Linked DNA regions of Drosophila melanogaster. The protein of the gene in region 3 interacts with the protein of the main gene of each other region in a pairwise test. Each region holds a gene or a part of one and is shown on either strand. Other genes may lie near its edges. The genes, in order: CG13405, CG4213 and RpL15.

The links.
Region 1: the proteins of RpL15 (region 3) and CG13405 interact in a two-hybrid assay, tested with the Drosophila melanogaster proteins (one large-scale study listed by BioGRID).
Region 2: the proteins of RpL15 (region 3) and CG4213 interact in a two-hybrid assay, tested with the Drosophila melanogaster proteins (one large-scale study listed by BioGRID).

The regions. Positions count from the first base shown.
Region 1 is NT_037436.4:73,538-77,294, forward strand, and holds CG13405 (uncharacterized protein), read right to left. Parts: upstream 1,796-3,757; 5' UTR 1,674-1,795; coding exon 1,101-1,673; 3' UTR 917-1,100; intron 855-916; 3' UTR 408-854; downstream 1-407.
Region 2 is NT_033779.5:400,204-403,960, forward strand, and holds the start of CG4213 (uncharacterized protein), read right to left. Parts: upstream 1,996-3,757; 5' UTR 1,461-1,995; coding exon 804-1,460; intron 740-803; coding exon 522-739; intron 465-521; coding exon 320-464; intron 254-319; coding exon 1-253.
Region 3 is NT_037436.4:27,265,467-27,269,085, forward strand, and holds RpL15 (ribosomal protein L15), read left to right. Parts: upstream 1-1,788; 5' UTR 1,789-2,057; exon of another isoform or gene 2,058-2,125; 5' UTR 2,126-2,143; coding exon 2,144-2,452; intron 2,453-2,487; exon of another isoform or gene 2,488-2,557; intron 2,558-2,625; coding exon 2,626-2,931; 3' UTR 2,932-2,979; downstream 2,980-3,619.

The DNA.
Region 1 (3,757 bases), about 27 Mb from region 3:
ACAGGCGCGTAAAAAATACCCAAGCCGCAGACAGTGCAATAACAACAAGCGGGAGAACGCAGTAGGGTTGGAGAATTGGGTGGGGGGGGGGGGGGGGGGCGAAGAGACATGAACAGAAGACCCAAGGCAGAGGTCCAAAAAACAGAAACAGAACCAGATGGAAAATGGAATGGAATCGAAGCACAGTTAAAGGAATTTTGCTGTATACGTTAATGTGTGCTTGTTTTTGTGTCTGGGCACACACTCATAAACAATGATGAACGGGGTGAATGGACGCAAGGTGACGTCGCAACGCGGTCGAAGCCGCTGCTTCTGCACATTGGGTTGGCGAATTTGGCGCCGACAACATTCCCCTTCTAAAATCGCGCTTTTGAATTTTCCACCTTAGGGTTAAACCATAAATTTCTAAGTTGCAAGTCCACATAAATTATCTTTTAATCGAAATAATTTACATTTCACTTTTCTCCAAATCTTTCTAAATGTAAATAAAATTTAAACAGTGACCAGTTGTGTAGAAAACGTCAAACTATCTCGTTTTTGCGAAGTGTTCCCCATCAAGCGCCACAATGGGCGTGGCACTTGGCGGAGAGTGAGAATTGAGGCATAATAAAAGAAGGAGGAGGGAACGAAGAAATCATCGAGAGAAGTTTTGGTTCAATTCAGTTCGTTTCGATTCATTCTCGTCTACTGGCGTCTTTCTGTGCCTCTTCGGTTATTTGTTTATGGCTGTTTTGCTTTGATCCCCTTATTCTGTCTGGGGGCACAATCGTCTTGTTTTTGCGCTTATTGCTATTGCTCTACACTTTCCCGCTATTTGGCTACTCCACGTCTGGACTCTTGACTATTAAACCCAGCTAAAAGAAGTGCTAGGCAGATATTTTAGAAATCGAGGGATTAAATTAAATTTTGCATTTACTTGCATTTTATTGAAATTTTCTTGCATTTTTTATTCACATTCCCTCCATCCTTTCCCATTTTATTGAGTGCAGTGTCGTTGATATGTGTAGATATGTATATATGTAAAATATGAAGATATTCCACAATTATTCAAGTATTTTCATAACTTTTCCCCGTCAATTTTCGGAAACTCCGCTAGGAAACTAGGTACAACATAGTCCATTATCCGATTCAGAATCCGACTCATATTCGTCAGCCGAATCCGTGGGACAAAAGCCTGATAAGGTCGATTGTAGTTCAGTATAAAAGTAGCTCTTCTCGTCCTCTGTGACTTCCATTTCTATATCTCTGTAGCGCCTAGGTGAACCGAAGTTTTGGAGGTGCATGGCTCTATTCACGAGAACCTTTAAATGGATCTCCTCATGCTCCTGACAGACCCTAAGTTGTTTGTATTCCTGCTTGTCTCTATAAGTCTTGCACTTCTTGAACATCAGTCGATTGGACTTTGCCTTGAGCTCTTTTATAATCCTGTTCTGCGCATCAATAGCGTTGACCACCTCCTGATACTCCTTGTACATTGCCTGTTGCTCTTCATCGTCTTCATCGCTCTCATTGAGGAGCTCAAAGGGATCCTTCTCCTCCACCTCGAACTTATCTTCCTCTTCAACGTCCTGTTCGTCTCCTTCGCCCTCTCCCTCAAAATCTTCAGCAGCTTCTTGTCCTTCATTTTGCTCATTATCAACGTCTCCAGAGGCTTCTTGCTCCACATCAGACATTGCTTCGGATGTTAGGGATAAATTGTATTAAGCGATGCAGGGGTATTAGTTTACATAATTATGAAATACTTTAATAAACCAAATTTTGATATATAAATCAAATACAAATTGTTGTAGTAGATTTATCATGTGATCGACAAACGTAAACATAAAACTCCACACCTTAGAGCCAGTAAAATCTCAGTTTACTGCACACAACAACTACTTTTATTATTTCAGTTCGCCATTTTTTTTAGCACTTCAATAACTTCCGTTTCCGTTTCCCTCGTTATTAGATCTTTTCATATACGATTTATTGTTCTTCTGCCATCATGATAGCTGTTGCGCCGTTAACTTCATTCCTTCTACAATCTCATCTCTCTTATTTCACGCTTTTATTGACTCAGTGATTTCTTGTGGCTGGATCCGGTGGATTACGTTTCAAAGCGCACCACTCGACGGCATGCGTTCGCATTAATTATAGAAACTACAGAATGCATTTTAATTTGGCATAATGTTTATCTCGCAGCAGGGTCGTTTCATCGTACTACCGGTAGTTAAGACGTGAATTCTAACAGATTACAACCTGTAAGCCAGGAAAGAAAGGGTATGTATTTGATAACTGGCCCAGCGACACAAGTTGCTGTTTTAATATCAAACTGGTGCATTGAATGGCATAATAGGAATGCACAATATGTACGCAAAATGTACCTGCAAAGTTGTGTGCAATGAAAGACAAAAATGTAGAGAACAATGTTTAGCAAAGAAATTGAATATGTCGATATAGGGATATACAAATTTAAATTTATTTATTTATTTAATTTAATTTATTTGAATTTACTTAATTAAATAATAAGCACCTTGTTTGGTCCAAGCTTAAGCTTTTATCCTTGATGTTTTCTTGATTACGTCCCTGTTTAATTTTTGGCGTAATTACCAATTGCTTGCGAGTCCCTGAAAGCGACAGTTGCATTAGAAGCGAACACCCATAGCCAGAGCCTATGGGTTTTATCGTCCGTATCAAGGTGGCTTTTCGATTAGCTCCCCATTCAGATTACGCATACGTCACTTAAGCTCAAAAAGACTGCGCCGCCCATTTTAAATCAAATAACGGGCAATTTAATTTACAAAGTTGAAAGCAAGCATAGGCCACCCCCTTTAAGTCTCATACATATTTTGATTTTTATTGGGACATTTTATTCTTTTTTTTTTTTTTTTTTTTTTGATTCCTTTCAGACCATGCAAGTTGCATCAAGTTTTTCTTCCGCTCAGACTTTTGTTTTCCTTTGTCTTGCATCTTTTTTGTGCTATTGTTACAACGGAATGGGGACTGTTTTTTTGTTTATGCCTCTACTGAATAAAATGGTTTCATTAAAAAAGTTTTAAACTTTTTCATTTAATTTAACTGCAGCAAACAACAAGCATCCTTCATCATGAAGCCTTTCTCCTTCTGCGCTTTTCTTTGCCCACTCTCTTGCCATTTTTCACTGCAACTATTTTGTAGAGAGCATCTGTTTCAGATATAGAGATCCTTAGCATGCTTTGATTGTTTTTTTTTTTTTTTTGAATGAGTTTCAATTAAACTTTTCTATTTCCATTTATTGTGCATTTTCCTTCCGCAGCGTATGCTGTCGCAGTTTGTTTCAGTGAGTTGCCACCCCGATTATCACCTGAGTGAGAGGTATCTTGTAGTCGAGGCACTCTACTCTCTCTGTCCTGGTAAACTTTTATTTTAAAATGGCCTCTTAAACGTATTGTCAACTCAGTATATTATTTCGTCGCTTGATTTCCTTTTTTGTTATTATTTTAATCATTCCCATTCACAGAGCATAATTTAAAAGGGGACGTAATAAAAAAGTCGTGTGATGGTGTGAGAATAGGGTTTGTTGAGACCGCCCTTTCTAGTAAGCCGGTCTTCATGTGGCATGACAACATGTCGTATTTGTAATATTTAAACACAACCGCTCAGCGAAGGTTGACAATCTTTGACATTAGACGGGCGTAATGATGAACTCTGACACGCTCAAGGGATGGCAGCGAAGGGAGGAGGTGGAAATGTGAGCGGGGCAGACCCAGAAGAAAAATCAATTTTTGCACAAAAAAAG
Region 2 (3,757 bases), on a different chromosome or scaffold from region 3:
CCTTTGTGGGAGTGGCTTTGGGTGTGGGTGTGGCGCTGCGACTTTTATCTGATTCCTCGGCGGAATCTCCATGACCAGTAGCTTGCTCCACAAGGTCGAAGAGCAACTTGGGCAGAGTGGCACCGTCGCTGCAGTTTCCCTCCGCTTGGGTCATTTGATTGAGGAGGTGGCGGTTCTCCTCCAGCATTCGATTGACGCGATCGATGTTCATGCTGCTCTTGCCATTGAACCCCATGATTAGCTGGCTGAAGAGCTGGGAAAGGATATGAAAGGATGTTACACGAAAATGGCTATATAAGTCTATATAAGTTGCACTCACCATGTTAACTGCACCCACTTGCTCACTAAGCAGACGCTTCTCAAACTTGTGCTCGCCGCACTCCTCCCGGAGCTTCGCCAGCTCCTCATTGGCCATCTCCACCTCTTTGAGAAGGCTGTGATTGCGGTCCTCCAAGCTTTTATTTCTAGTACAGGAAGAAAGATCAGTAAAGTTTGGTTCAATGGATAGAAAATTCGCTTACTTATCCTGCTCGGCCGTAAGTTCGTCTCTCTTGATCGAGATTAGGCGCTGGAGATTCTCGTACTCCGCAGCAGCCACTCTCTGTCGCTCTTCATAAAGTTGCCTTAACTGGCGGATATTCACCAGTTGGCGCTCGTATTCCTGGCGAAGATTGTTCGACATAATCTTCATTTCGCGCTCACTAAAAGAGTTTTCGATTTCCGTCAGCTTCATCTTGAGCTAGTAGTAAACCATTTATTTAATATGGATCTTGATTTCTATACGACCTGCATTACTAGCTCACCTGAGCACACTGTTCCTCCTTCACGCTCAGCATCTGCTTGCAGCAGGAGATGACCTCCTTCAGGGTTCCTACCTGGCGTTGAACCACTTCCACTTCTCCACGCAATGACAAATTCTCGGCCTGTGCCTGCTGCAAAGCCAACTGAGCATTGGCCAGTTCGATATTGGCATGGCGGCTCCTGGAACTGGGATTCTCATCATCTGGATCTGCATCAGGCTTACTGGGACTATTCGAATGGTCGTGCTGATTATCGGCTTGACCGTCTGTAGCCGTAACTTTTCTAAGACGTTGATTCTCAGATTTTTCTATGGCCAATTGTTCTTTAAGACTAGCAATTTCATCCCTCAGGCCCTGCACAGCATTTTGGCGAACCTCTTTTTTCTGACGAAGCTCTTCTCTGAACTCTTCGAGGGTCTGTTCTCGTTGATGGGTCTCATTTCCTTTGTCCTCCATTTCAATTGCAACTTTATTCTCACGATATTTCACTCTATTTTCGGGAAGTACCTCCTCAGCTTCTTTTTGGGTTGTGGCTCGGGGGGCCTGTTCCAGAATGAGATCCTCGTGCTCGATGTTGTTCCACCAGGGCTCGTCATCAGTGGACTGCTGCATCTGCATTTGCGTATCATCCGCAGACTGTGTGGACTCGGCATTTCCCATCTTTACCAACAGAACAAAGACGAACGAGCTGTGGTATGCGGTTGTGATGATCTGTTTACCAATGCAGATTCGCCTGGCGAGCGTTAAATTTACGATTCGCTTTAATGCGACTTTTCTTCTAGAGAAGAACTCTTTGTCGGCACAAAGAAAGCCCAAGATCCACCGATCTACAGATCGCCACCAATTGATATGGCACCAATACCAGCAGGGGAAAATACCAACAAAAATCGGTGTCTATATTTGTGTGCGACGATCACACACGAGTTTGCAGATTTCGCAATTATCTATTGACTTTCACTTTTCAACCAAGGATGTTCGAGAAAAAATAATGTCCCGATTTCCATTAAATATTCTTCACTTGCACATTGAACTTCGAAAGATACGGAAAAGGAGAAACGTAACTAAACTAAATATCTAGTATACATATGATAAACTTCTATATGTATACGTGACGTTGGAAAATTTTCGGGTTCTAATTTCTATCCGTTCGACGGTCGAACGCAACTTTTCGGTTAGCCAGCTCGGGAAAAACTGAGAAAACATTGAATAGATTCTGCTATTTTTAACCCACTACGATCTCTCCTGCTTTCAAACGAATTTGGCTTCTCTCGGCGGCACTCCCAACATAAAATGCTTTGTTTTCGAGCATTAGAGATTCTTGTTATGTTGAGGGTTTGGCAAGATGTCTGAGAGTCTTCTTAGGACTCTTCCCTTCACATTCTTAATTGTTCTTTTTAGTTTTATGCACATTTTAATTAGAAGAACGTGTCAGATGAATCCGTCTAAAATTATACACAAGCGTCATTTTAATTATGAGTAAGGGGTAAAACAAAACAAAACTCTTGCCACATCGCCTGTCAAGAAATGAAGATCAAGACCAGTTGTCAAGAGCTGAAAGAGAAAGATCCGCAACACTTACTAGGTGAATGATCTGCACTGTTTTGAAGACGATGTTTCCTAACATCAGGAACTTTAATTACATATAAAAAGCATACAAAAGAATTAGCATTACTCTCAGTTTTGGTATTAGGTAAAAACTCTGGGTGAGTATGAACACATGTTCAAGGTTAAATACAGCACAATCCTATTCATTTTTCAATTCATACACGATCACAAACTTTTCTTAGCGCACCCCTGTCTGACCCACATTCGTTGACCATTATCACTTCGTTAAAGAGAATAAATCTCTGGACCTTTATTAACCAATTTGTGATAGTGGCATAGGGTATCCCGCGCACCCCCGAACTCAATGAAAATCTTTCGCGCGAAAGTTTCAAATGAAAATCCATTTGCTAGCTGATTTTTGCACTGGCCACGCCAACTTCCTGTTTTTTTCCCCCAGTGCGCGCATTTGAAAAGTGGGAAACACGCAGCAACGATTCCAAACCAAGGACGGTGAAGGGTTTTCCGGGGTAGGAAGGAAGGATGGCGCACACATTTGGCAAAGTGTCGCCAGGCTTGAAAATGAAAATCAACAATGCAATTTGCCATGGCGCCTCGCTCTGCCCCTTAGTTCTAGGTTTCTCTGTTGTTTGTAGCGACTCAAAAGGGAAAAAATTCTGCTAAAAACTTGAAGCGCCAGGCAAAAGTTGGGCCCCAGGAACGCCCTCAGCTTTTGCAGAGATTGCACACAGGCAAATGTGCAGCGAAAGTTGAAAGTAGCAAGGATACAAGAACCAGGCATCAAGGACGCTCTGCCCAAAATAAGTTGCAAGAAATCCATTGTGTTCATTATAATGGAATAATAAACCGGAGTGACTGCGTTCAGATTGGGGTTCTTTCCTTTTCCATTAGCCCCTGAACCATCTCAAATTGATGATATTTTCTTGATGTTCCCACAACCACTTCATGTTTTCACGTTAAAACCCAACAAAGTAATTTGGCAATTCCAATACAAGAAAAATTAAGAAATCTGGCATCAGCCTTGATTAACACCTATCTTAAGACGAAATATAATGTTAGTAAAATTTTCATATTCTCGCAGTCATTAGACATTAATGTGCCAGTCAGTGGGGTTTAAGCCCAAGTATTCGACAAAACTGCTTCTTAGAAGCTTTAGATGGCGTATTTTGGGGAGGGTGCTTCAGATTAATATGCACATACATACATATGTGCATACATACGCCACCTATGTGGCTCACAACAATGCAACAACTTCATTGCCAGAGCAACACGTTGGCACATCCTGTTGCAAAGTCTCATTTCCGCAGGAGTTGTGTTCTACATACCGGATGCCTTTGCAAATGCTAAATGGTTATTGCCGTATGTGCACAATATGTCAGACGTTGCAAATAAAT
Region 3 (3,619 bases):
TTACTCAAACGGATTAGAGAAATTAAAAGGAAAATTAAAAAAGTTTTCTTCCCACCATCAAATTGGAATATAAGAAAATAATTCTACTGAATCTAATTTAAATTTAAAATTTAAAATTTAAGTCAAAAGACTTAATAAATATTTTACATAATTAAAGCATAGACAAAGGGAATTATTATAACTGCTGTAATTTGAATAAATAAATAAACCATAAATTTAAAAAAAAAGTCAGTACATTGAGAAAAAAAATATTTCATAAAAATAAAACATAGTAGAAAATAAATAAAAATATGAAATCTGTTTAGTGCAAAAGTTATATCTGGAGGCACTGAGTGCGGACACAAGCTATCATCAATCATTGTTGTCATAATTTCTCACACCTCGCAAACGTAATACTCTAATTTGTGACATTTAAATAGATTCGGTTAATACTACAATATTTCTATGCTATATTTAAATAATAATAGCACTAAGGCAATGCAGAGAAAACATATTTCACATGATGCCAATTGACCGAAATTATTATAGTTATTATTATAAATTAGTTATTATATAAATTATTATAGTTATTCTAGTGCCAGCAACCGGCTGCAGAGCTCTCCGGTCTCTGGCTCTGACTGTTGTTATTCTAGTGCCTATGCAAATAACATTTGTCGCTTATGAAATTGGTTACTTTCAAAACATTTTTAAATCTGAACCTGTATATCGGTATCAAAAATATAATCGTGCATGATCCGGTAATCGAATTCGTATGAATTTTATGATTCCGCTTTTGGTCGTAAACCAATTTTGACTTTTGTCTGGCCGAAATGTAAAAATGCCTTTTAATACCCGTTATTTGTAGAGTAAAAGACTTACTGGATTCGTTGAAAATTATGTAACAAGCAGAAAGAGCGTTTACGACTATACAAAACATATTATTGAACAGGATCAATAGCCGAGTCGATCTAGCCATGTACGTCTGTCTATATGAACATCGAGATCTCAGCATACAGGTTCTAGAGGCAAAGACGCAGCGCAAGTTTGGTGACCCGCCCACTCTAACGCACGCAAACCTCCAAAAACTGGCACGCCTACACTTTTGAAGAACGTGTTGTTTATTTTTAACATTTTAATTATTTTTATAATTTTTTTTATTTGCAACAAAATTTTTTCGCACTAGCTGAGGAACGGGTATCTGATAGGCGAGGAACTCGCCTCCGATGTGACAAGCACACATTTGCTGTCGACAACAACAAATTTCGATTTGCTAAGGTGTCGCTAAGTACGTCGTCAAAAGTTATTGCGGGAAAACGAAACAGGCAGGTAAAAATATTTATACCATATATTAAAATGCTTTCATTAAAAAATAAATAAAAACTGTGAAAAATGGGGTAGCTATTTTGTATGAAAAACAATTGCAAACAGCAATTTCTGCGTCCGTCTGGCTTCAAAACAAACGATTTCAAATATATAAAGGATATCTTCACGTTGTTTGATTTTGACAAAGAAAAAAGTCAGTTGTTTGAGCAGCAAGAAACGAAATAAAGCGAAATAGCATAGAAATAACGCATAGCACTATAGCAAAAATTATTTGAAAACCAGAGCACCTAATAACGAAATTAAAAGACTTTTCCCAAATCGAATGCGATAAGATAAATTAACATGGAACGGAACATGCTGGGATGTTTTAAAAATAATACAATTCTGTGAGAAAGGGGTATAATTCCGTTTTACAATGTTTCATGCATTAGGGTAAGTATATCCCAAAGCAACTCTGAGCTTGTTTGTCGTGTGATCCAACTCATTGCTTCCTTCTTTTGGAATATTTCCGTGCTGTAAGTTGGTTGTGCATTCGGGTCAATAATTTTTCTTTAGTACGAGATCATTTCGGAAATAAGTTTATATATTATTTTCGGTCCTTTTAAAATGTTTTTAAGTTTGTATGATGATTTTTTCCATGCACCACTCTGAGCTCAGTGTAGATTATGGATATCTGACGGATGTTATGTTCGTTTTTGTACTCACATTGCTATGTAACATTGATACGAATTATTATCTGTTCTAGATTGTAATATGTACAGTTTAAGAAGTTGATGGACCGATGATGTGACAGTTATAAAATAAATAATGAATTTGTTACTAGGTCTATCAAATTGCAGAGATGGGGGCTTATCGGTACATGCAGGAACTTTATAGGAAGAAGCAGAGCGATGTGATGCGCTACTTGCTACGTATTCGCGTTTGGCAATACCGCCAACTAACGAAATTGCATCGTTCGCCAAGACCTACTCGCCCGGATAAAGCAAGACGTTTAGGATACAGAGCCAAACAGGGGTTCGTGATTTATAGAATCCGTGTTCGCCGCGGAGGTCGCAAGCGTCCAGTTCCCAAAGGATGCACTTATGGCAAGCCGAAGAGTCATGGTGTAAACCAGTTAAAACCATATCGTGGTTTGCAATCCATTGCTGAGGTAAGAAAAAACGAAATTTGCTAACCACACGTTCGAACAAGTTGATGACAACCCCTTTTGACATACAATATATGTTGACATTAACTTCCTTAGATGTCTGAAATATTCTTGTCCAATTAAGAGGTCCTCACCAAAAAACACTGAAATATATCATGAATTTTATTTTCTTGTAGGAACGTGTTGGTCGTAGACTTGGCGGCTTGCGAGTTTTGAACTCGTATTGGATTGCGCAAGATGCTTCTTATAAATATTTTGAAGTAATCTTAATTGATACTCATCACAGTGCTATTCGTCGTGATCCAAAAATTAACTGGATCTGCAAGCATGTCCACAAGCATCGTGAATTGCGTGGCCTTACATCAGCTGGAAAAAGTTCGCGTGGCATTGGCAAGGGATATAGATACTCCCAGACAATTGGTGGATCTAGGCGTGCTGCTTGGAAGCGCAAGAACCGTGAGCACATGCACAGAAAACGATAAATTGTGAAGCATTTATTTTATCGGTTAAATAAAGCACTTCGTGCACGCAAAGAACATATCTAAAAAATATATTTTTTGAAAAGAGCTTTTAAACGCAAAAATAGATATAGTAACAGGTTTTCGCATTTTTGGTTTGGCATATTGGTTTATTAGGAATTTTGGTTTAAAATATAAAATTTCTTTCATCTACATTAACTTCCAGTTTTTATTTTCAAAAATGTACTAAGACCATTTTTCGGCAAGACTCCAATTCTTTTACAAAAAATTTTAAAATATATGCAAATAATCCCTTTTTCGTTTAGCGGATCTAACAAAAAAGTACCTCAAGGTTGAGCAAAAAATCTCATTTGAACGACGATGGGCACGCAAACGTATTTTTGCTTGTTATAGCTCTTCTGCTTCATATCTAAAAAATGCCATATCGAAAGATATTGGAAAATGAAACAATATTAAATTTAAAAAAATGTTCAAAAGCGAGGGCGTGGTTGTTTTGGGACTTATGTAGGTGTAAGAACGGGCGTGGCGGCTTGTATTTAAATAATATTAAAACGTTTTTTGAAAAGCTTAAGCGTGACAACATTCGGAAACACAATTGCGCTGCGCTTATTGTGTTTCTGAAAGCTGCAGGCTTAATCTCAAGATTTTACCCTTTATAGTTCCTAAAATCGATACGTTCATACGTTCAAAC